Nothobranchius furzeri: one gene and its partners. The protein of the gene in region 1 binds, or shares a complex with, the protein of each later gene. Links are inferred from orthologs where the notes say so. Each region holds a gene or a part of one and is shown on either strand. Other genes may lie near its edges. The genes, in order: gtf2a1, polr2j, gtf2f1 and gtf2e2.

Evidence for each region.
Region 2: gtf2a1 (region 1) and polr2j share a complex: the UniProt entries of both Homo sapiens proteins name them as parts of the TBP-based Pol II pre-initiation complex. The link is inferred for Nothobranchius furzeri from reciprocal best matches to the Homo sapiens genes GTF2A1 and POLR2J.
Region 3: gtf2a1 (region 1) and gtf2f1 share a complex: the UniProt entries of both Homo sapiens proteins name them as parts of the TBP-based Pol II pre-initiation complex. The link is inferred for Nothobranchius furzeri from reciprocal best matches to the Homo sapiens genes GTF2A1 and GTF2F1.
Region 4: gtf2a1 (region 1) and gtf2e2 share a complex: the UniProt entries of both Homo sapiens proteins name them as parts of the TBP-based Pol II pre-initiation complex. The link is inferred for Nothobranchius furzeri from reciprocal best matches to the Homo sapiens genes GTF2A1 and GTF2E2.

What each region holds. Positions count from the first base shown.
Region 1 is NC_091742.1:19,636,913-19,642,552, reverse strand, and holds the start of gtf2a1 (transcription initiation factor IIA subunit 1), read right to left. Parts: upstream 3,474-5,640; 5' UTR 2,496-3,473; coding exon 2,466-2,495; intron 2,000-2,465; exon of another isoform or gene 1,884-1,999; intron 1,227-1,883; exon of another isoform or gene 1,099-1,226; intron 1-1,098. Other genes in the region: N-acetyl-D-glucosamine kinase, read left to right, coding at 3,886-4,056, 4,126-4,213, 4,286-4,383, 4,464-4,542, 4,623-4,822. UniProt on the Homo sapiens protein: TFIIA is a component of the transcription machinery of RNA polymerase II and plays an important role in transcriptional activation. TFIIA in a complex with TBP mediates transcriptional activity.
Region 2 is NC_091743.1:77,207,279-77,212,318, forward strand, and holds polr2j (DNA-directed RNA polymerase II subunit RPB11-a), read right to left. Parts: upstream 3,335-5,040; 5' UTR 3,117-3,334; coding exon 2,974-3,116; intron 2,423-2,973; coding exon 2,314-2,422; intron 1,580-2,313; coding exon 1,478-1,579; 3' UTR 1,416-1,477; downstream 1-1,415. Other genes in the region: deoxynucleotidyltransferase terminal-interacting protein 1, read left to right, coding at 75-133, 351-411, 505-576, 750-805, 983-1,091; protein phosphatase 1 regulatory subunit 15B, read left to right, coding at 4,372-5,040. UniProt on the Homo sapiens protein: Core component of RNA polymerase II (Pol II), a DNA-dependent RNA polymerase which synthesizes mRNA precursors and many functional non-coding RNAs using the four ribonucleoside triphosphates as substrates.
Region 3 is NC_091752.1:52,162,153-52,167,769, forward strand, and holds the start of gtf2f1 (general transcription factor IIF subunit 1), read right to left. Parts: upstream 3,547-5,617; 5' UTR 3,456-3,546; intron 2,937-3,455; 5' UTR 2,919-2,936; coding exon 2,907-2,918; intron 2,730-2,906; coding exon 2,683-2,729; intron 2,552-2,682; coding exon 2,479-2,551; intron 2,370-2,478; coding exon 2,176-2,369; intron 1,864-2,175; coding exon 1,693-1,863; intron 1,617-1,692; coding exon 1,411-1,616; intron 1,324-1,410; coding exon 1,176-1,323; intron 210-1,175; coding exon 154-209; intron 77-153; coding exon 1-76. UniProt on the Homo sapiens protein: TFIIF is a general transcription initiation factor that binds to RNA polymerase II and helps to recruit it to the initiation complex in collaboration with TFIIB. It promotes transcription elongation.
Region 4 is NC_091747.1:77,634,171-77,639,061, forward strand, and holds part of gtf2e2 (transcription initiation factor IIE subunit beta), read left to right. Parts: intron 1-2,386; exon of another isoform or gene 2,387-2,527; intron 2,528-2,920; coding exon 2,921-3,003; intron 3,004-3,534; coding exon 3,535-3,642; intron 3,643-4,891. UniProt on the Homo sapiens protein: Recruits TFIIH to the initiation complex and stimulates the RNA polymerase II C-terminal domain kinase and DNA-dependent ATPase activities of TFIIH. Both TFIIH and TFIIE are required for promoter clearance by RNA polymerase.

The DNA of each region.
Region 1 (5,640 bases):
AACACATTTTAGGTAAAATTTAGACAAACTGAGGACAATATTTTCCTGATATACAGGGTTTATTTAGTTGTCTGAAAATGTAACACGCTTAAAAAAATACCGCGATAATACCGAAAACAGTGATAATTTTGTTCACAATAACCGTGAGGTTACATTTTCACACCGTGACAACCCTACTTGCAATAAATAAAAACATCTCAGGAACAAAATATTCTAAAACAAATAAATAAATGAATAAGAAATGGCAATCAGTAGATCCCTGAATCAGCAGATAGAGGCTAACTCTGGTTGTTGCTATCCATCCAGATTAAGTGCCGTCCACCTTCGAGGTGGGCATATAACCTATGAGAACCGACCCGATTGGCCAAATGGGTGAAGAGCTTTGTGTGATTTGTCTAAAACATCATGCTTCCGTTTGACAAAATGCATTATGTTTAACAAACATTTGTGCTGACCTTTCGTTGTGATTTATTTCCATTATTGTCGATATGCGTGTTGCACATACTGACATCGCGGTGATACATTTGCAACCCTACTGTGTAGCATTTGTTTTAACAGGTTACAAAGTAAATTATAAGTTTATTGATAACCTATCATCTTGTCTTTATTAAATGCCACATAACTTATCACATTTCAAACTTAATGATGGGTATTTTACAGCATCTGGTGCAGTAAGCCACTTTTAGGCATGACACGATTCGTCATTTGCGGAAGTCCTACACAATACATTTAAAGGCACACCTGTAACGACACTAATGAACTATCATACACTAAACTAATATCCCTGCCATCAATAATAAAACAAAAGCCAGCAAAAATAATGTGACACAGGTTTTATTTTGAAATATACCAGACGCACTTGTCACTTCCTGTCCGGCTCATGACATCTTTAACTTCATGAGGATGAAATTTGTGTCAATGTTACCTTCTTTCCAACATGATTATTTGACTGTAAAATCCCTTAATATTGTACCTTTAAAGTACTTTAAAACCGGACACACACACACACACACACACACACACACACACACACACACACACACACACACACACACACACACACACACACACTTACTTATTTTTACATATTTGCATTACCGGTCTGATCTTGGAGAGGTTGTACTGAAACTACATTTCATCGCACCAAGACGCTGGTTCAATGACAAATAAAGCAATCCTGTCCTAAGGGCACTGAACTAATACTTGGCTCTTCTATAAATTTTGTGGCCCCTTGATGGGCCCCGTACCCTGAAAAATCTCAGATACGCCCCTGGCATAAATCAAGATTAATGTTTCACAGCTCCATTATAATCCAAACTGTGCTTCAGCATCCGGATCTTATCCACAACCGCGTCTGTCAACATAAACAATTACATAGATGTCCGCCGGGACTGCGTTACTAGCTCAACCGTAGCGTTCAAGTCTGCGGAGACTTTCCAGCCAAGATACCGCCCTGCCTCGATGTCCGCGGTGGACACCTCGGTGCGTCCTTCCCTCCCCCTCGGACAGTCGGTTCCTCCACAAATTAAAGCTCAGTGAAGTGTTTATATGCGGGCCGGTGACGTAGCGTCGTGTAGCACCGTCCCATCCCAGCAGTCTATATTAGACAGCCAATATGGCGGTATAAAGCCAGCCACCGGCAGGGAGGAGGGCCAGAACCGAGCGAGACGGGAGAGGTGGAAGCCATTTTACGGAGCGGCCCCGCTCACAGAGCCGTTTTCTTTCAGCGAAATGAGGCCAAATAAAGAAAGAGGCTCTCGTTTTATGCGTTTAATTGCCAGTTTTGACTCGGTGGCTTTGTTTTGGGAGCAGGACATCGGAGATATCATGGGTCAAAAATGGGTTTCGGGACGCTTTTCTGCGCCTCTGGTCCTGGAATGGTGGACCACGACGAGGCAGCGCCGCGGACTGCGTCCAAGACTTTGCGCTAAAATGGCTTTTTAATATCAGATCCTCTAGTTGAATTTACTTGGAAGTGGATGTTGACGATGTGCTTTGGGTACGTCTGTTGATTAGATGTGCGGTTTCCAATATTTAAGCTCAAATACGTCAGCTGGCTAACAAATTCGTCCAATAATCCACCCTGGGCTAAATGAACGGCACTAAGATCAAACACTGACTCCAAATGATAAACCAAGACTCGTAACAGCCACTGATAAATCACACTAGCGCTAAACAAAGTCTCAACCTGAAGTAATTACAAATTTTCACTTTAACCAGCATTATTTAATGTAAAATCATTCAAAACTTGCCTCGGCAGAAGCTTCTTCAGTGCCATGTTTTCATTTGAATATCTAGTTTCGAATTATGGCTTATTCAAAGTTAGTATTTCCTTTATAATTTCACTCAGGAGTGATGAGCTAGTTCAAGCATATTCATCTGAAAAAAACCCATCTCCTCCACATCCTCTAGACAACTTTACCCCCGTTTCCCCCGACTGGCAGTCCGTTGAGATTGATCCTTACCACTGGGTTCGAGTTAGCCGAGCTCGCCATTATACGCGTAGTGTAAAAACCACACGGAAATAGGCGAGAGACAGAGCCAAAAATGACCAAAAAAAGACTTAAAACAACTGGGAAAGATCGTTTAGAACAGCCGGCATCACTTTTGTAAATAAAACACAGTTTTCACGGTCTTATTTACAGTCCCGGGCTGCGACTCCCCAGCCGTCTTCCTCTCGCCGCTGTCCTGCTTTATATACTGAGCGAAGGAGCTGCGAGTGCGCGAGACATAGGGCAGGTTCAGACAGAAAATCTCGCGAGATTTTTGCGGAATTTGATGACTAATCAGGGTGGCTGCTTCTGGGAAATGTAGTTTTAAAGCGGAAAGCCTGACATTAAAGTTTACCAGGCTTTTTAATGCAGCGTGCTCTGCATTATTATTGGTTCAGTTAGTTTAACGCTAAAGAATACGATTTCACTGCCAGGAGGAGTATTTGATAATTTGATATTGAGTTATATAGAAATAATTAATGCTTTTAAATGTGAGAATATTTTGTTAAATTGATAAAATATGAATCTTTAATTGGATAATACAGTATAGATTTGTTTAGGGTATTTCTATTTTAAATATCATTATTATTATTATTATTATTATTATTATTATTTTCTCCAAGCCTTTTTACTAATAAAAATGTTATTATCCAATTATCCACCGAGTAGAATGAAACGCTTTAAGCGCTTGAGCAGTTCTTCGCCCAACAGAAAAGGAAAATCCTCAATGTCAGACACAAACACTGGGTGTCTCGCAGACATGCCACCCACCGAAACTCCAAGGAAAGCTACAGACGACAAGGCCATTGGATCTGGAGTTAAAGGATTGAGATCCACGGCGCAGGGTCTGAGCGTTAAGACACGACCCTGTTCAGCTGCACGCAGCCAAGCAGACACTCTCCCAGAGAGAACGGGACATGATGGTGAGGTCCGAACCAGAGTCCAGGATAGCCCCACAGCCAAGCGATCCCACAAGGTTCACTGGGATGTGAGGTTTCTCCTTGGGAGCTTTACGGATGATATCACAGAAAAACTTAAGTGGAGGTTTGTCTGGTAAGTAAGGATTACCTGACCTGCTAACAGGTGCATTGGATGCTCGAGGTTTAGAGCTAACGGAAGCAACCTCACCAAACCTCACAGTTGCCACAGGACACACCGTTGGGGCATGTTTCAGTTTTGGAGGACTCGTCGTTGCGACTGAGTCATGTGCAGGTTCAACAGGTGCAGGAGGATGTGCACTCTGTTCTGCAGAAGAGAGGAGAAGAACTCTGTTAGTCTTTGATGGGTCTTCATCCAAGACATGAAGGGCATATTTTAACGCTTCGCGCATGGTCGCAGGAGGCCTGCAACCGGACTCAGCTCTTGACCTTGAAGCAGCAGGGCTGTGGTCAGCATGGTCGCAGCACGGCACAGTGGTTACCACAGTGATCTTAATCATATCTCTTCTTCAGCTTTCTGGATCGCTCGTTTGGCCGTGAAGACGGTGTTTGACGCTCAAGACAACTTGGTGGCGCCTCCTTATGACATCACATGGGTTACAGAAGCCATGGAGGAGAACTTCCAGGTCAGACAGCAGCAACACAAAGACAAATCTGTTCTTTTAAACCCAGAATAATTAAAACATTACTCCCAGGTGTTGGATCTGATGGGAATGCTTCCTCACCTCTGCAGGAACTTCCAGAAGTCCCACTTTGCTGGCTTCTGTAAGAAGCTGGCTGAAGGTGAGCAGCAGCAGGACTTCTGCTCAGGTTTCTAGGACAATAGAGTGTCATCCTGAGTGTTTTGTGTCCCAGGTGCGGAGGCTGGGGATGCTCTCAGCCAGCATGTGTTCGCTCAGGTTGGCAGAGTTCTGGCTAAACATGTAGAGTCAGTTTTACCTGCAGCTCAACCGGTGACCACACCTACAAGCCTTCTGGTTTCACTTTTGCATGTATGAAACTGGAGCATTTCTCTTCTGTTTTGTTGTTTAAGGCGTTATTAAGGTGTGAGCGCGGCCTGCCAGTCCTGTGTGTGGGCTCCGTGTGGAAGAGCTGGTCTCTCCTGAAGCCGGGTCTGTGTCGCTGATGGTAATAACGGTCCATGAAACCCTCTGGATGAAGTCTCATCTGCATGTTTTATGTGTTTCTGCAGGGTTCACAGAGGTTCTGGAAAAAGCCGCATCATCAGACAAGTTGAAGGACCGTTTCCATGGCTACAGCCTCCTGACTTTACAGCAGTCCTCTGCTTTGGGCGGAGCTAGCCTTGGGGTTCAGAGTTTAGGTTCCTCCATCCGTATGGATTACTCCACCAATGCTGATGTCTTCTATCAGCACACCTTCAACAGCGGATAGTGACTAAAGCACCAGGCCACTTTAGAATTACTGGAGCTCATAACTCTTTCAATCATGAATGATTTTGCACGTGATTTGATCCAAGGTTTCTTTTTAAAGATTGTTTTATCTTGGCAGCTTCTTTAACAAGAACTGGTGGGACCTGAAGTTTATTGTTCAAACTTTTATGTGATGTTTTGGCCGTGAAAATCCTTGGTTTTCACCAGAATTGGCAAACATAATACATGAACGAAATAGAGCTTGGAACAAGGCAAGAACAACAGAGTTGACTACTGACTGGTCTGTTTTCAGGCAGCTGAGAAAAAAATGTACTTCCCTGATCAAAAAGGCAAAATCTGAATATTTTCTATCAGTCACCACAGAAAATCTTAAAGATCCTCAGAGATTCTGGAAAGTGATCAAGTCTTTTGCTGTGGAAAAGATCTCTCAGGCTCTTCCTACTTTTGTTCTTAGAGATTCAGTTCCAATTTATAACAGACTCGAAATCTTAAATTGTTTTAACGAACATTTTCTTTCGGTGGGTTCCCTGTTTAATTTTGTCGGAACCCCTTTGATAAAATCTGGTATAATACCCCCAAATTTTTCTGGAGCTCCTTTTAACTTTAAACCTTTTACAGTGCATGAAGTTCACAAAGCTTTAAAAAACATAGATCACAGAAAGCCACCTGGACCTGATTTTATAGAACCTTATTTTTTAAAGATGGCAGCGGATTATGTGGCAGAGCCACTTTCAATTCTTTTTAATCTTTCAATTAACTCCAAAGAAATTCCATCACAGTGGAAGTCAGCATATGTTTTACCATTATTAAAAGGAGGAG
Region 2 (5,040 bases), on another chromosome or scaffold:
TCACTTTTTCCTGAATCCACCTGTCCTCTGCAGACAGGTGAGTTTTAGTGCTAAACCTGAATGATCTGTTTCAGTGGGATCCGTCCAGACTCACCGACGGCAGCACATTTGTTCTCGGGTCCAGAGCCAACAAGTGAGTCATCACCAAGTTAAATTCTTATTTTCACATAAATACAAGATAAACAGAATGTAATGCATGCAAAGGTTCACATCCCAGACAAGGGAATTGAACAGACGGGTAAAGGTTTCAGTATCTTTAATGACTCCATATATGATCAAAATGCTTTTGATGCTCAAACACAAACAGCCTCAAAAGAAGTGAGTCATCAGCTGCTGTGATGTCATCACAGGGCACTAGGGATGGGTGGGACCAGAGGACGGATCTATATTAAACACGCTGACCTGTTCAAGGTAACTCCTGACATCAGGTGTCTGCTGGACCTAGTAAGGGTCAGGGGACTGTTTCCTGTGATTAGTAAAAAAAAAAAAGTGTGTGTGTTTCAGTATGCAGCAGATTCTAAGGATAAGCAGTGGTTGGCAGAGAGACATCACATGAGGGCAACAGGAGGAAAGATGGTGAGAATCTGCACACGCACGTCAGTCAAATGGCCACACCCACTTTTAGCTGCTGACCTGATCACTGCAGGTGATCGCCTGAATCAGTCATCAGATGAAGTTTGTGTGGCAGTGCATCATGGGTAGTTTAAAACCTATTTAACAATTGTGTGTGTGTGTGTGCATACCGGCAGGCTTACCTTCTGATTGAAGAGGACATCCAGGATTTGTCTCACAGCGATGAGTACAAGTTAGTATCCAACCTGAAACACAAACTTCTGGATCCAGCTGCAGAAAACAGTTTAATCACTAGAACAGAACCAGCTACCAGTTTTATTGACCTTATTCTAGCATTTGTTGTTCTGATGATGTAGTTGATAGCTGGTGAGATGTGTGTGGTTGCCGTGGTAACTTGCATCCCTTTTAGGGACTGTCCGGATGTCAGGATGGACGAGTTGAAGCCGTTCTCCGTTCCTCCGTGGATGGTGGAGAAGATGCAGCGAGCCATGGAGGCTCAGAGAGACTCTGACCCCTGATGGTCACATGATCAGGGGCCACACGGCATGTGACATCACAAAATCAGATTTTTTTTATTTTTTACTGCTTTTCTTTTAAAAGAATATTCAATTAAATCTGATTGACAACTATTTTGTTTTGTTTGATATAGTTTAAATTCTTAGAGGTGACATCACTTCCTGAAGATCAGCTGATCAATGCTAGAATTAACAGGTGAAGATTTCCATACCAGCTGTTCCTTTGGACATCTGAGTGGGATCAGATCTAGTTCCAAACCCTATTTTTAATAGTGTTTGGCAATTTTGTCGAAATACTTGTAAAAGGTATTGACTAAACACAGAATCTGACATCTTAAGTTTATTTAGAAAAACAAAACAACAAAATGAGGTGAGGTCAGAGGTCAGGGTCACTCGATGCCTTCCTGTTTGTCTTTGATGGCAACTCTGAAGCGTTCTTCCAGCAGAGACAGCTCACTGATCAGATCTGTGATGGCATTGGTGAATGCTTCCTGTGGAGGAAATGACATCACATTTGGTTAGGTTTCCAATTTCTATCATTATTGTGTCTCAACCAATCAAGACACAAAACATATGAGAAACAAATCCAGACCCACTTGGGTCCAACAGCATCATGAGGCTTAGACCACCAACATGTATAAAGACCAGCTGGAGGACAGTGCAGAAGTTGAAGCTGAAAGATCTGAAAAGCCTCCAGAGGCTGGCTCCAGTAGAGGTTTTATGCCCCAACCCCTCTATCTAAACCAATGAGAAATGATCTTGTTTAAGAACACAGCTTACACCATCTTGACTCCTGTTGGTTTGCGTCCTGCCGGCAATGCGGACCAAAGCTCCGACACCGGTCATACAGGGACCTAACAGCCCGTGTCAGAGGGCCTGGTACCCCATGCTCCTGGACTACCCCCCACAGGGCCCCCTGAGGAACACAGTCGAACACCTTCTCCAAATCCACAAACACATTTAGATTGGCTGGGTGAACTCTAACGCACCCTCCAGGACCCCCCTAAGGGTACAAAGCTGGCCCAGTGTTCCACGATCAGGATGAAAACCACATTCGTCCTCCTGAATCTGAGGTTCGACAATACGACGGACCCTAAATAAAATATATATATAAAAAAAAAAATATATATATATATATATATGCATGCACACATTCCTTCACTTCTCTGGTGAAGTCCCTACAGCCATCTTTACTTTATTTGGTGTTGAAGACCTGATGGGTTACCTGTGGACTGTAGTCAGGTGTGGTCTGCACTCGGATGACGATCTTGTGCTCAAGAGGATGAGGAACTTTGTAACCCGCGAACAGAACCTGAGGATCCTTCAGCAGCTGACTGACACACAAAAACACACAATTAGGGGCCACCAGACAGGACACCTGTGTCAGAGCTCCTCCCACAGGCGAAGGCCGGCTGCTGTCAGGTTTTTTTTTCTTTCCAATATCAAATTGTGTCCTTGAGCTCAGATGATGTTCTCCAGTGTGTGTGTGTGTGTGTTTTACGTCCAGATGATGTGCCCCAGTGTGTGTGTGTCTTACGCCCAGATGATGTTCCCCAGTGCGTGTGTCTTACGCCCGGATGATGTTCCCCAGTGTGTGTGTGTGTGTGTGTGTGTGTGTGCGTGTCTTACGCCCGGATGATGTTCCCCTGTGTGTGTGTGTGTGTGTGTGTGTGCGTGCGTGCGTGTGTGTGTGTGTGTGTGTGTGTGTGTGTGTGTGTGTGTGTGTGTGTGTGTGTGTGTGTGTGTCTTACGCTCAGATGATGTTCCCCTGTGTGTGTGTGTGTTTTACGCTCGGATGATGTTCCTCAGTGTGTGTGTGTATGTGTGTGTGTGTTTTACGCTCGGATGATGTTCCTCAGAGTGTGTGTGTGTGTGTGTGTCTTACGCTCGGATGATGTTCCCCAGTGTGTGGTCTTCCTTGTTCAGAGTGAACAAACACGCGTTCGGGACCTTGGTATCTTTACTGATGCCGATCTTTTTCTCTCCTTCAAAGAGCAGAAACGACTCGAAGGCTGGAGGTGCGTTCATGTTTGTGCTGGAGCAAAGAACCCCGAACCGAACCACTAGGATACTTCCGCTCAGCTTTCTTTGTCTGGTTTAAAGACTGTTAGGAAATCAGCTTTGTGTGGCATTACCGCCACCTGCAGCACGATAAGCGAAACTGCATATTTAAATCAATAATAGAAATTTGCAGCACGTAGAAAATGTTTACTTTCACAATATTAGGATAATACATGTTTGACCTAAACACGGTTCATGTAAAATTTGCAGCATTTTTTTGTTTAATAAAAGCTAGGACCTGAACAAAATACATCAAACACAGTTCATTTTAACCAGAAACACACGTTTCAGTGTCACTCTCTGCTTTTCTGCAATTTACCAGGTGATTAGCCAAAACGCTGCCCATGGCACCCCTGATGGTACCAGATGTCACCTTAAGGTGGTGTTACCATCTGGTCTCCTCAATGCACCCATGACTCAGAGGAGCTATACCTTTACAGCGTGTGACGCCATGTCCTATTTTTTCCTCCTATAGCATAAATAATTACTTTATATTAATGAGATTCGTGTAGGAGTGCATCGAGAGTAAAATAAAAAATGGCTCCCTCTGAAAAAGAACTGGAGAAACTTTCCGCGCCTCCGCTTCTGCCGCGCGTTCGTGCCGCTCCGTGCCGCGCCGCCAACCGTCTGCCGTTTACCCGGAAAAGGAAGACGCGGGGCTTCTGCTGATGGTCTTCTGACTTTCTGATGAAATCTCCCACTGCAGCCATATAGACAGACTCACGGAGTTGTGCGGGGGCCAAAACTCCTCTCTGAACGGATACCGGGCAGTATTACCGGTGGGAAGAACTCCCTTCCATCAACAGTCGACGAAACCAACCAGAAAGCGGAATTTAAATCGATAATTTTAAGTCGTCGCTGGGAAGTAAACTAACCGCCGTTTGCTTCTCGTGCTAAGCTAACCTGCTAACCCAGCAGAACCTCCCACCCGCGATAAGCCCCGACAGGATGGCTCGTTTTTCCGCTTCACATTGGGACTTATCATCGTTTCACGGCTCTAGCATGTTCAGCTCGGCTCAGTTTTCCAGCTCCGGTACCACACGGAGGAAGTCTAACCACCACTCTCAGCGGAATGTCGCCGGCTCCGGGCTTATGGACGTTATCTTTTGGGTTCCTGGCGGCCACTTTAACATGTTCTAGTGAGGTTTGACAGCTGTCAGTGTAACTTGCTAAAACCGCTGCTGTTTCAGGGAAATTCATTTGTGCACTTTAAGTAGATAAAATGTTCAGAAACATAAACGCCGAAGAATGTACGTGTGGAGGAAAACGCTCGTCCCACCCACCCGGCCCCGCGGTCACATCGGTCGGACAGGATAGCCAGGACAGCTCGTGGATCCGTCTGCTGTCAAGGCCCGCGCTGTTGCTGCGGCGGAAACTCCGCCAGTGGAACATCGCTCCGGCGGAGCTCAGAAGCAGCTTGATGAGTGAAGAAAGTGAGACTTTAAGACAGTTAAATGGCATGATGCCCCTCAGCCAGTCCGCACCTGCTCACCTGACCCACCTGCAGTGTCAGCACGAGGGGGCAACCGGCCTGCTGGAGTCATGGGTCAGCAGGTCCGCTGCGTCTCTGCGGGACTGTCAGAGCCCCGGGGAGATGGAGCTCTGCCAGCAAATACCGAGCGTATATGTTTCCTCTGTCGGGACTTTTTTTACCCAGGTTCAGTTGATCTCTCAGGAACACATCGGAGGAAAGGTGTGTGTGCCAGGGAGCTTCCCGGTAATGGGGGGCTCCACAGGTAAAGGTGGACCATGGTGGAGGGGTAGCATTCTGTGGGGCGAGGAGAGCCCAGCCAGGGGGCTGCTGTCGGGATATTACCGGCCTGAGGAGGGGGCAGAGACATACTATCTTTGTCCTCAGGCTGCAGCCCAGACACATGTTGCTGAAAAGAGC
Region 3 (5,617 bases), on another chromosome or scaffold:
TCCTCCTCCTTTGCTTCTTCTTCATTCTTCTTCTCCTCTTCGCTCTCTTCCTCGCTCTCTGATTCCTCATCGATTCCTGCAAACAGACAAATTACTTCAATGAGAAACAAACAAAACTCCTGCAGGAGAATACCAGTATCGTCTCACACCAACCTTTAGGATGCTCTTCCTCTCTGGTGGGTTTCTCGTTAACTTGGTCTTCATCTGGGCTGTTGGGAAAGAAAATAACACATGAACACACAACCATTTCTAAAAGAAAGACACACACACACACAAGCCTTGTTATCAAAATCAGTGCATCTCTAATGACACTGTGTCATAAATGATAGTTGTACCAGAAAATAGTGGAAGTTTGAGACTTTTCTCTACTTAAAGTGCATAAAGTAGCAACAGCATTCTGTGGTCACATGCGGGAACAGCATGTTTCATAACAAACATGTCCGCTCTGAACAGCTGTCGTCAGCCACGGATCAGCACCAGAAGATTCTAGATGAGGAGTTAAGACGAGTCGAATGCAGTAAGTTGATAAGTAGGTAAATACATTTAACTGTAATATCAAGTAGGTCAATTTCATCGTTAGCATTGTTAGCTCAACGTTAGCGTCTAGCCTTTTTTTCCCCCAATATTAGAGTAAAGCAAAAAGATGCTGTGGCTTCTTAAGGGTACAAGAAATAACTTCTGGGTTGCTCCTGTTAACTGGCTTTGGTTCTCAACACAACTTTGGAGCTTTTTGTCTGCTAGTGTCGAATTACAAATGCTGGTGTAGCATCGTTGGCAGATTTGCAACTCTACAGGTTCACATATGATTGGCTCTGCAACCAGGAAGTATGACGGCGGGACAGATTGTAAACGATGACTATGTCCCTCTTCACATCTGACATGTTTCAGTGCAGCTTTCCTTCAGACAGGATTGAGACATTAGCCTGTTTTGTGATTATTTCACTGTAATATTCTAACATGTTGTACCTTTAAAACACCTGACTAGAATCAGACCTCTGTAGGACATGATAAGTAATAAATCCAAACACTAAATCTGATAAGCTGGAGCAGAGAAACATCTAAAACATGCAGGATAGTACTAGGACATGAGTACATAGCTAACATGCTAGCATGAACTAAAGCTAATAAGGGAATGGGGTAAACGGGGAGGGGGTGGTAGGGTAATAAGATCTCACCTGCTTTCATCTGACATATAATCCACTTCCAGACCCTCGTAATCGCCATCATCACTGTCTTCAAGGGCGTCTTTTTCACCACCCTTTTGCTTCTTCTTTGTTTTCGATTTCCCCGCGGCCTTCTTCGTTTTTGCTTTGCTCGCACCGTCTGACACGTTTAAAAAAATGTTTCAAGTTTAGAAAAGTAAAGATGTGAAAATCATAATTACACCACATCCTGTTTTCTTCTCTGTACCTTCTCCTACGCTGCTGTCACTGTCATCACTGCTCATCTCCAGGTCGTCTTCCAGATCGTGAATGAGCAGGTCGCCGCCTCTCCCACCGCCCTTCTTTTTCTTCTTCCCAGATTTTCCTGACTCATCTTCTTCATCGTCGCCACGATCCTGCTCCCGAAGACGTCTCTGAAGCATGATGCTGAAGTGATTTACCACCTTGTTCCGCCTGCAGCAGCAGAGCATGCAACTTTAAGAGATGCTGATGAATTATTAGTTTGTTCCTTCCTTTTTGTTTTCCTCACCTGCCCCACTCTTCCTCAGCCTCTTCAGCAGTCAACGTCCGATGTTTTGCCTGTGGTGTAAAGTTGTACCACCCATGAACAGGAAAGGCTTCAAACGCCCCATCAGGACACTGTGTGAAAATGTAGTAGGAAGCATTTTCTGTGACGCCACCCTTCTTTACCCCTTTGAACCTGTGTACACAGAAAAACAAAGAAAATAGTTTAGTCTGCTAGCCAACAGTAAAAATATTTTTTTTTAGAAATTAAAGTATATATTTAAGACAAAAATAATTACCTTTTCGTTGACAAAAATGTAAGTAATAATATTTGTAGCATATTATAAAAAAGGGAAAAAGTGGATGGAATGACATGAACTCAAACTTGGAGGCAATTTTTAGGATTATAAAATAAAACAAACCAATTAATTTCTGTCTAAAATTCACACTTCATTTCTGAAACTTGTGATTTACTGACATTTTCACTAAAACATCCCCCTTTTCTCACCTTTTGCCAGCTTTGCCATTGACCTTCAGGATCCAAGGCTGGTCCTCAGCTTTGAACTCACGGGTCACAATACCAAACTTCTTCCGTCGTGCTTCCTCACGCTGTTTTTTGCCAAACTCACTGCCCGCACCACTTTCAGGCGTCTCCTCCTCCCCGTATATCCGCCGAGCGCTCATGTCTCTCTCCATACGAGCCTGAAAAGTTAAGGTGAAAATAGAAAATAAGCGATTCCAACATTATGATTGTAAATATCTCTCCAATTTTTAGAAAATAAATGTTTTCATACAAAAGCTTGAAACCCACCTGTGTCCAGGCAGAACAATTTACTTTGTCTCCTGCATTGAAAGCCATTATGTTGTACTTCTTGCTGGTGTTTCTATGGAACAAACAAAAAGATCATTACATTAATTTGCTTTTCTCCACTCTGGGCCTCTTTAGATAAAGGATAACAATCCCATCTGTATCCACACACCGATCATCATGTGGTTTAATACATGTGTTACTTACTTGGGGACTCTCACAGTGTACTCTGTGGTTGAAGAACTGCTGCTCCCCTGTAAATAAACAACGATTTGTCTCTGCAAATTTCAATTTCTACCACTGTAATCCAGAGATTAACACGTGAGCACAAATGTTTATTTGTTTATTCAACAAAAATGAGTCAGATTACCAGAATAATGCATTCTAGCATTCTAAATATAAAAAAAGGTTCTAATTAGGAATGTACTTACCAGTGACGTCATGGCCGTCTATTTGACACGCTGAAAACGCCCAAATAGAATGAAAACACAAAAGGTTACATGAAACAATTGTGCTAAATTCAGCGGCCAACGGTAAATCTCAAGCAGTAGTCTGACAGGTGAAAATCTGGCTCAATACAAACTTTCTTAAAGGCTCAGATATTTTGCAGAAGGCGATCATGATTTAAGGTGAATGTTGCTAACAGACATCATCTTTGTAAATACCAAACTTTACAGAGAAAAACACTAATTTTTTCTGACAAACACTTTTCTGGGGTGAAAAAGGTCACCAGAGAGGTTAATTTGAAAATACAAAAAGGCATTGCAACATTTGACAACGTTTGCTCGAGTAATGTTAGCTTCTGTTGCTAAAACAAACGGTATCAAAAAAACGTCATCAAACCGAAACAACAAACAGGCCTAATACTAACATAACTCAACCACCTATGCGCTAAACAGTAATATTTACTCAGACACCTTGTTTAAAACACCAAAAGCAACACGTTAGTAAGTAAGTAAAGAAACGAACTGAATATTTACCAGAATGCTATTTGTTCCGCCAGTCGATGAGTCCGGTAGGAAACATTTACCATCAAGAGAGTTCCTAGCCGTTCACTACGGTAGCCGTGAGGTCTAACGTTTTCTGTCTATGACGTAACCACGTAAAAATAAATAAACAAATGCGCGTGTACACCATAGACTGTACATACACACACACCAGGATAAATATCATTACGTATTTTCACACATGCATCCACTACATTTGAGCGACAAATAACGAGAAACAAAGCAAAAGTCTGCCTTCAACCCTTCTCAAGATTCTCATATTGCAGATATCAGATGTATACTTTTGTGAATGACCGTTCACAACAACCTTGTGCAGTTTTAGTTGATTATTACAAAATAATTGGGGCATAAATTACATGTCTGTTGTGTAAGCGTTTGTTTAAGAATTTTTATTAACATCAACAGAGCTGGCCGGGTACTGTGGAAAGTCATTTCAACATTTAATCAGCAATCAAACCTTTCATTATGTGAAATCAATTCTAGGCTCTACAAGGTGTATCCGTGTGTGTGTGTGAAACCAAGCTAAAGGCCTGTTACCTCCTCTTCTCATGTTTGTGTGTGTGTGTGTGTGTGTGTGTGTGTGTGTGTGTGTGTGTGTGTGTGTGTGTGTGTGTGTGTGTGTGTGTGTGTGTGTGTGTGTGTGTGTGTGTGTGTGTGTGTGTGTGTGTGTCCTGGCTGGAGACTCCTAATCAGTGCTGTCGTAAATTAATGGTGTGCCTTCACTCTGCTGATATGGTTAAAAGAATCATGTTGTGGATATAACCTTTCTTGACCTGAAAAGATGTTGGGAGGAGTTACAAGTGGACCGGACAGAGTGCTTCATGAAGCGGGAAGAGTTACCATGGAGACGAACAGGAGACAAGAAGGAGGGGGAAGCGGAGAGATAAAAAGGGGGGCCCGAGAGTTCTAAGGCTGGGAGTTCGGTTGAGCTCTGTGTTTTTTACCCGCTGCGTCGGGGTGATTCTGTCTGGATCAATCTTTTTTCATCCTTTTTGAATAAAAACCTTGGTTTCTTATTGTGAGAAACTAAAAGGACAACTGTGCCTCGGGGCCTTCGTTGGTGTCGGGTAACCGGACCAGAAGTCGATGGTGATCAACACCCTGTCCTGTCCTGTGGTCGACGCCTCTTCATGTTCTGAAGTCGACGCCTCCTCGTGTTCTGAAGTCGACGCCTCCTCATGTTCTGAAGTCAACGCCTCCTCGTGTTCTGAAGTCGACGCCTCCTCTTGTTCTGAGGTCGACGCCTCTTCCTGTCCAAGGGTCGATGCCTCTTCCTGTCCAAGGGTCGACGCCTCCTCTGAAGTCGACGCCTCATCTGAAGTCGACTCCTCATCTGAAGTCGACACCTCATCTGAAATCGACGCCTCATCCGAAGTCGACGCCTCATCCGAAGTCGACGCCTCATCCGAAGTCGACGCCTCATCCGAAGTCGACGCCTCATCCGAAATCGACGCCTCATCCGAAGTCGACGCCTCATCTGAAGTCGACGCCTCATCCGAAGTCGACGTCTCATCTGAAGTCGACACCTCATTTGAAGTCGACGCTCTCTCCACTCCAGAGGTCGACGCTCTCTCCACTCCAGAGGTCGACGCTCTCTCCACTCCAGAGGTCGACGCTCTCTCCACTCCAGAGGTCGACGCTCCCTCTGGTCCGACGTCTCCGTCGTCTCCAGTCCCGTGGTCGACGCTGTCTCCAGTTCCAGTGGTGGTTCCAGAGGTCGCACCGTATCCGGTCCAGCCCTTCCACGAGGCTCCAATCCAGTCCGTCCTAGAGACTTTGTCCCGGTCCAGCCTGCAGAGACTTTGTCCCCGGCCCAGCCTTCAGAGACTTTGTCCCCGGCCCAGCCTGCAGAGACTATGTCCCCGGCCCAACCTGCAGAGACTTTGTCCCCGGTCCAGCCTGCAGAGACTTTGTCCCCGGCCCAGCCTGCAGAGACTTTGTCCCCGGCCCAGCCTGCAGAGACTATGTCCCCGGCCAGGCCTGCAGAGACTTTGTCCCCGGTCCAGCCTGCAGAGACTTCGCCCCCGGCCCAGCCTGCAGAGACTATGTCCCTGGCCCAGCCTGCTGAGACTTTGCCACTGGCCCAGCCTGCAGAGACTTTGTCCCCGGCCAAGCCTGCAGAGACTTCATCTCCG
Region 4 (4,891 bases), on another chromosome or scaffold:
TTAATAATCGCAGGAAAAAATATCACGATATATTGCCAAATCAATATTTCCGATACACGGCTTTTGAATATCGATATAATATTGCTGGGGAAAAATATCACAATATATTGCCATATCGATATTTTCTTACATCCCTAGTTTAGATAGTAATTTGCTGTCTTGTAAAAGATCTTTCTGTCTCTGAACTGTGTCTATTCCCATATACGTGTGTGTGTGTGAACATGCATGCTCCAAACACACACTTGTGTGCAGAGACCTCGGTAGCTGACCCAGATTACTTCAGGATGAGGAGCTCAAGTGTTGCTGCTGATAATGAACCTGTCTTCTTGGGTTACAAGTCTTGTTGCTCTTGCTTAAGATCCTAAAACTGTCATGTGAATCAATCAGATTATTTATAAAGCGCTTTTCAAACAAAGTGCTTTACAAAATGACCCCAGATTCCCATAACAGGTTAAAAACATTAACAGACATATGCAAGCACACGCACACACACACACACACACACAGACTCACACACACACACGCACACAAGTAAAAATTATATTAGGCTGAGTCCAGATGAGCCAAGTAAGGTAACGCAAGGAAACGCCATCAGAGGAGCCGTCTGTCCCGGCAGCATCAGGTGTTCCACACTAAGTCAGGGCGCTCAGTGGAGGGGGAGCATAGCCCCCCACCTATAGAGCGGCCAGGAAGCTACAGTCGACCACCGCTCCCGGGGCAGAGGGCCCCCACAGAGGAAGTATTTTTGAAGAATATCAATGCTTAAATTAGGCATTGCCCATTTCTAGATGAAAGCCATCTTCACTCGTATTATTTACGGTACGGCTCCCATCTACCTGAATCCTCTTGCAAAGGCTTATGTCTCGGCCCGGCCGCTCCGGTCATCACAGGATGGTCGGCTAGCAGTGCCTACACCACGCTCAGGACAATCCAGACTCTTCTCATGCATCGTTCCACAAATGTGGAATGACCTTCCAAGCACTACCAGAACTGCGGCTTCCTTTTCAATTTTCAAGAAACTCCTGAAGACCCTGCTCTTCAGAGAGCATCTTCTAAACTAGCACCCTCCCTGCACCCGTCCCCCCTCTCTACCGTCCACTCCTTGTTCCCTCCTCTCCATGACTGATGTCAATGTTGTTGTTGTTATTGTTGTTGTTAGCCTCAAGGGCAACATGCTGATTATCACTTGTAAGTCGCTTTGGACAAAAGCGTCTGCTAAATACATAAACATATTTTTTTGCATTAGGAGTGAGTGATTGGGCAAAAACATATGTCACAATATATGTTGTGACAGTTTTTAATTTTAGATGCCAAACTTGGCGTTTCGTGACCCACAGCAGGGTCCTATTATTTCCATCCTCGTCTGTTTATTTTATTTTGTTATTCAAGGTCAAGTTGTACATCTTATTTCTAACTTTCACAACCGCTGTCATAAATGATGCTGCCCTTCCTTTACTCTGACAGATCGGTAACATGTTCTAACTGTTAACAATCTGGTATCATTTAGATACACGTCTAAAAGAAGTCCGGTTGTCAGAATCAGCCCAAATTCACTTACTGGCCAATTTAAAAAATGAACCTTTTTTCCTTTATTTGGTCCATGAACCAAGCAGAAGTAAAGAATTGAGACACTTTTCTTGTTCTGTATGAGGAAGTACCAATTTACGCAAAAGATTTTTATCTTTTTAAAACTTATTTTTCTAGAATCATATGTTTTTAGGGTAATCAGAATTTAAATGGCAATAATGAAAATTGAAAATGGGTTTCAAAACTAAAATCTGTGCAGTTCTAGCGAATCATCCAGCCTAACTGAAAACATTAACATGATGGCAGTTATTAGACAGAACTGTGTGTGGTTTTAGTTTCTTTCATTAAAGACAAATACAAAGGAAGTACTTCTATTTAGGAACTGTTAGAACGTAAACTACTCGTATAGTAAAATCAGAGTCTAGATAGAAACATATTTTAGGTTTGTGTTGAGAATTTCTTACAGCTGCTCTAACAGATAAAGCAGTGATGCTCATGAAAACACACACATTCTGATGTTTGTTATTCGAGCAGGGAAGAGTGCAGACAGGTCCATGTTTATTTAATCCAGATGTTTTTTATGCAGTTCTAGGCCTCAGGATCTGACCTGACAAATTCAACCCTTTTTTTTTTTTTTTTTTTTGCTAAATATGAGGATTTGGTTCAAGAGATCCAATCAGAGGGGTTGGGTTAGTAAAACATGTTTTTTGCATGTAAGCATTTGTTAAGATTCATCTACTAAATGCTGGAAAACACACTGCCGTAGCTCCAGACTGAAGCCAAGATTATTTCCTTGGATTTTTATACATAATTTAATCAACATTTGGTTCATCCATCCCTGAAAAATAAAGCCACTCACCTGCGTGCCTGGCTCTGTCTTTTGAAGATGCAGGTTAACGGATCACTCCCCTGCTTCTGGCTCTCTGTCTTCCTCTCTCCCTCGCCCACAGTCACGCATCGACCTGTTCTTGGTGCACTCGCGCACTTCCAGTCGTCATCCGTGCGTCCGCTCCCCTTCTTCTCCTCCCTTCTCCTCCATCACCATCACTCTTGCAGCTCTTCATGTCTCCACTGAACACATTGAGCTGATCATTGGCTCTCTACTTTTACCCCACCCCAGCGCCATTCGCTAGTGGCCCTGTCAGGTTTCAGCACCCAGCCCACTGTGCAGCGAACAGCCACAGAGCCCCCACGCCCACAGCATGAATCATTCATGATTCAGTGTCTGTTTCCAGCTTTTATTGGTGAATGCTCAGTCCAGACCTGGCCAACGGAGGAGGGAAGCATGAAAATATTCAGCAGCTCTGTGGTTTCTGTGTTCATGCCGAATGCTTTATGTTCACCACAGTAAATTCTCATGTAATAAACACATTTTCCTTCCTTTTCTCTGCAGAATCCAGTAATGGAAACATCAACATTAAAGCAAGCTCTGGGTACAAGTTTGGCTGCCTGGCCAAAATTGTTAATTACATGAAGGTAACCAACATTTGAAGACAATTTTAGGGACAGAAATCTCTGTTGACACTAGCATCCAATTGAATGTATTGTATGCATTCACAAATGAGACAATGGGAGTGTTTTTGTCTCATAGACTCGGAAAACACCTTCTGCAGAGCTATTAGACTGTCGTCGTGACCTTCAAAGCTCCACCAAAACGTGATTTGTTGTGTATTGTATCAGCTGAATGAGTCAGTCGTGTTCGCTGTGTTAACATTTGGTCTCGAGGCTTTCTTTGGGTACATAAACAGCTTGTTTATCTTGCTGTGGCTCTATCAAATCGCTATCTGACACACACTCCACTTACCACTCTTCTGTGATTGTGGGCACTTTTTGTGCCATCTGCTGAAAGTTTTAAATTGCACACGACATTTTAAAAGTGCAATTGAAGGCTTAACAAATTTTTCAGCTGTCAGTGTTAGGTAAAGAGGAATAAACCCATCTCTCAATTTCCATCATGGATATCATAAAGCTGATAACCATATTTGAAATTCTGCCTTTCTCTCACAGACGAGGCACCAAAATGGGGACACACACTTCCTGACTCTAGAAGAGATCCTGGATGAGACCAAACTTCTTGACATCAGTATGAAGCAGAAACAGTGGCTTATGACCGAGGTGAGCTCCTGACATGATCTCTTCCACTTTTGTTAAATATGTTTAAAACTGAAAAGATGAACTAGGAAAAGAGACTAAAGCTTGTATCTCACTGGGGTGCCACTGGGGGCAACACTTATTTGCTATAAAAATGCAATTTTTTTGTGAAATCATATTTAATTTGTGAGAAAAAAATACATTCATGTTAAATTTTAAAAATGGCTGGGTAACACAGGGCATATTTGCAACTAAATAGTTGTTCCGATAATAGATATGTATTGTAAGTATACAGCTTTGTTCACTCAGTAAAAAGTTGAGCTACTACCTCTTATTATTTTTTGTCTTTTAAACATCAAAGTAAGTACATTTTATTTATATAGCACTCATCACAGAAAGAGAATCACAAAGTGCTTCACGTAGATAAGAAAGAAAATGAGTCATATGGTCATAAAATCATAATGATCAAATCATAATGATTTTAATCAAAACAGAAATAAATTAAAACCAGAAAAAACTAAGTTATAAAGTTATAAAATGATCATAAATATCATAAAACAAATGAAATATGATTATAAGTCTGAATTTAAAAAGAAGACAAAAGTTTTAGGTTAAAGCAGCTTAAAATAAAATAGTCTTCAGCTGTTTTTTAAAAGTTTACCAGACTGAATACTATGGAAGGATAAAGGAAGATCATTCCAAAGTCGGGGGGTGACAGCCTGGAAGGAGCGATCACCTCGACTGGTCTTTGGTACTTCTAGAAGGTTCTGGTTTGTGGACCTGAGCGGTGGGGTTGAAGCAAGGTGGTCAAGGTTTTTTTTGTTAAAACATGTGAAGAGTGTGTTACAGTAATCTAGACGAGAGGAGATAAAGGCATGGATAACTAATTCAAGTTCATGTTTTGACACCAACCTTCACAGTTTGGAGATATTTCTTAAGTGGTGAAAATGTTTCGGACCAATGTTTTTGAGTGGTTTGAGTGGCCTTGAAGAGAAGAAACAACACCCAAATTCCTCAAGTTTAACTTGACATCAGAGGTTAAATGACCAAGTTGTTTACTAGTCAGGGGAACCATGCTCTCACTAGTCAGGGGAACCATGCTCTTGGGGACAATGAGCAGACATTTGGTTTATCCTCATCGGCCCTCTCACTTCTGCCTTGGGGGATACCGCAGGGTTCTATACTGGGACCGTTGCTGTTTCCCATTTATATTCTCCCATTGGGGGACATTCTACAAAAGTTTGGAATTGGATTCCATCTCTTTGCCGACAAC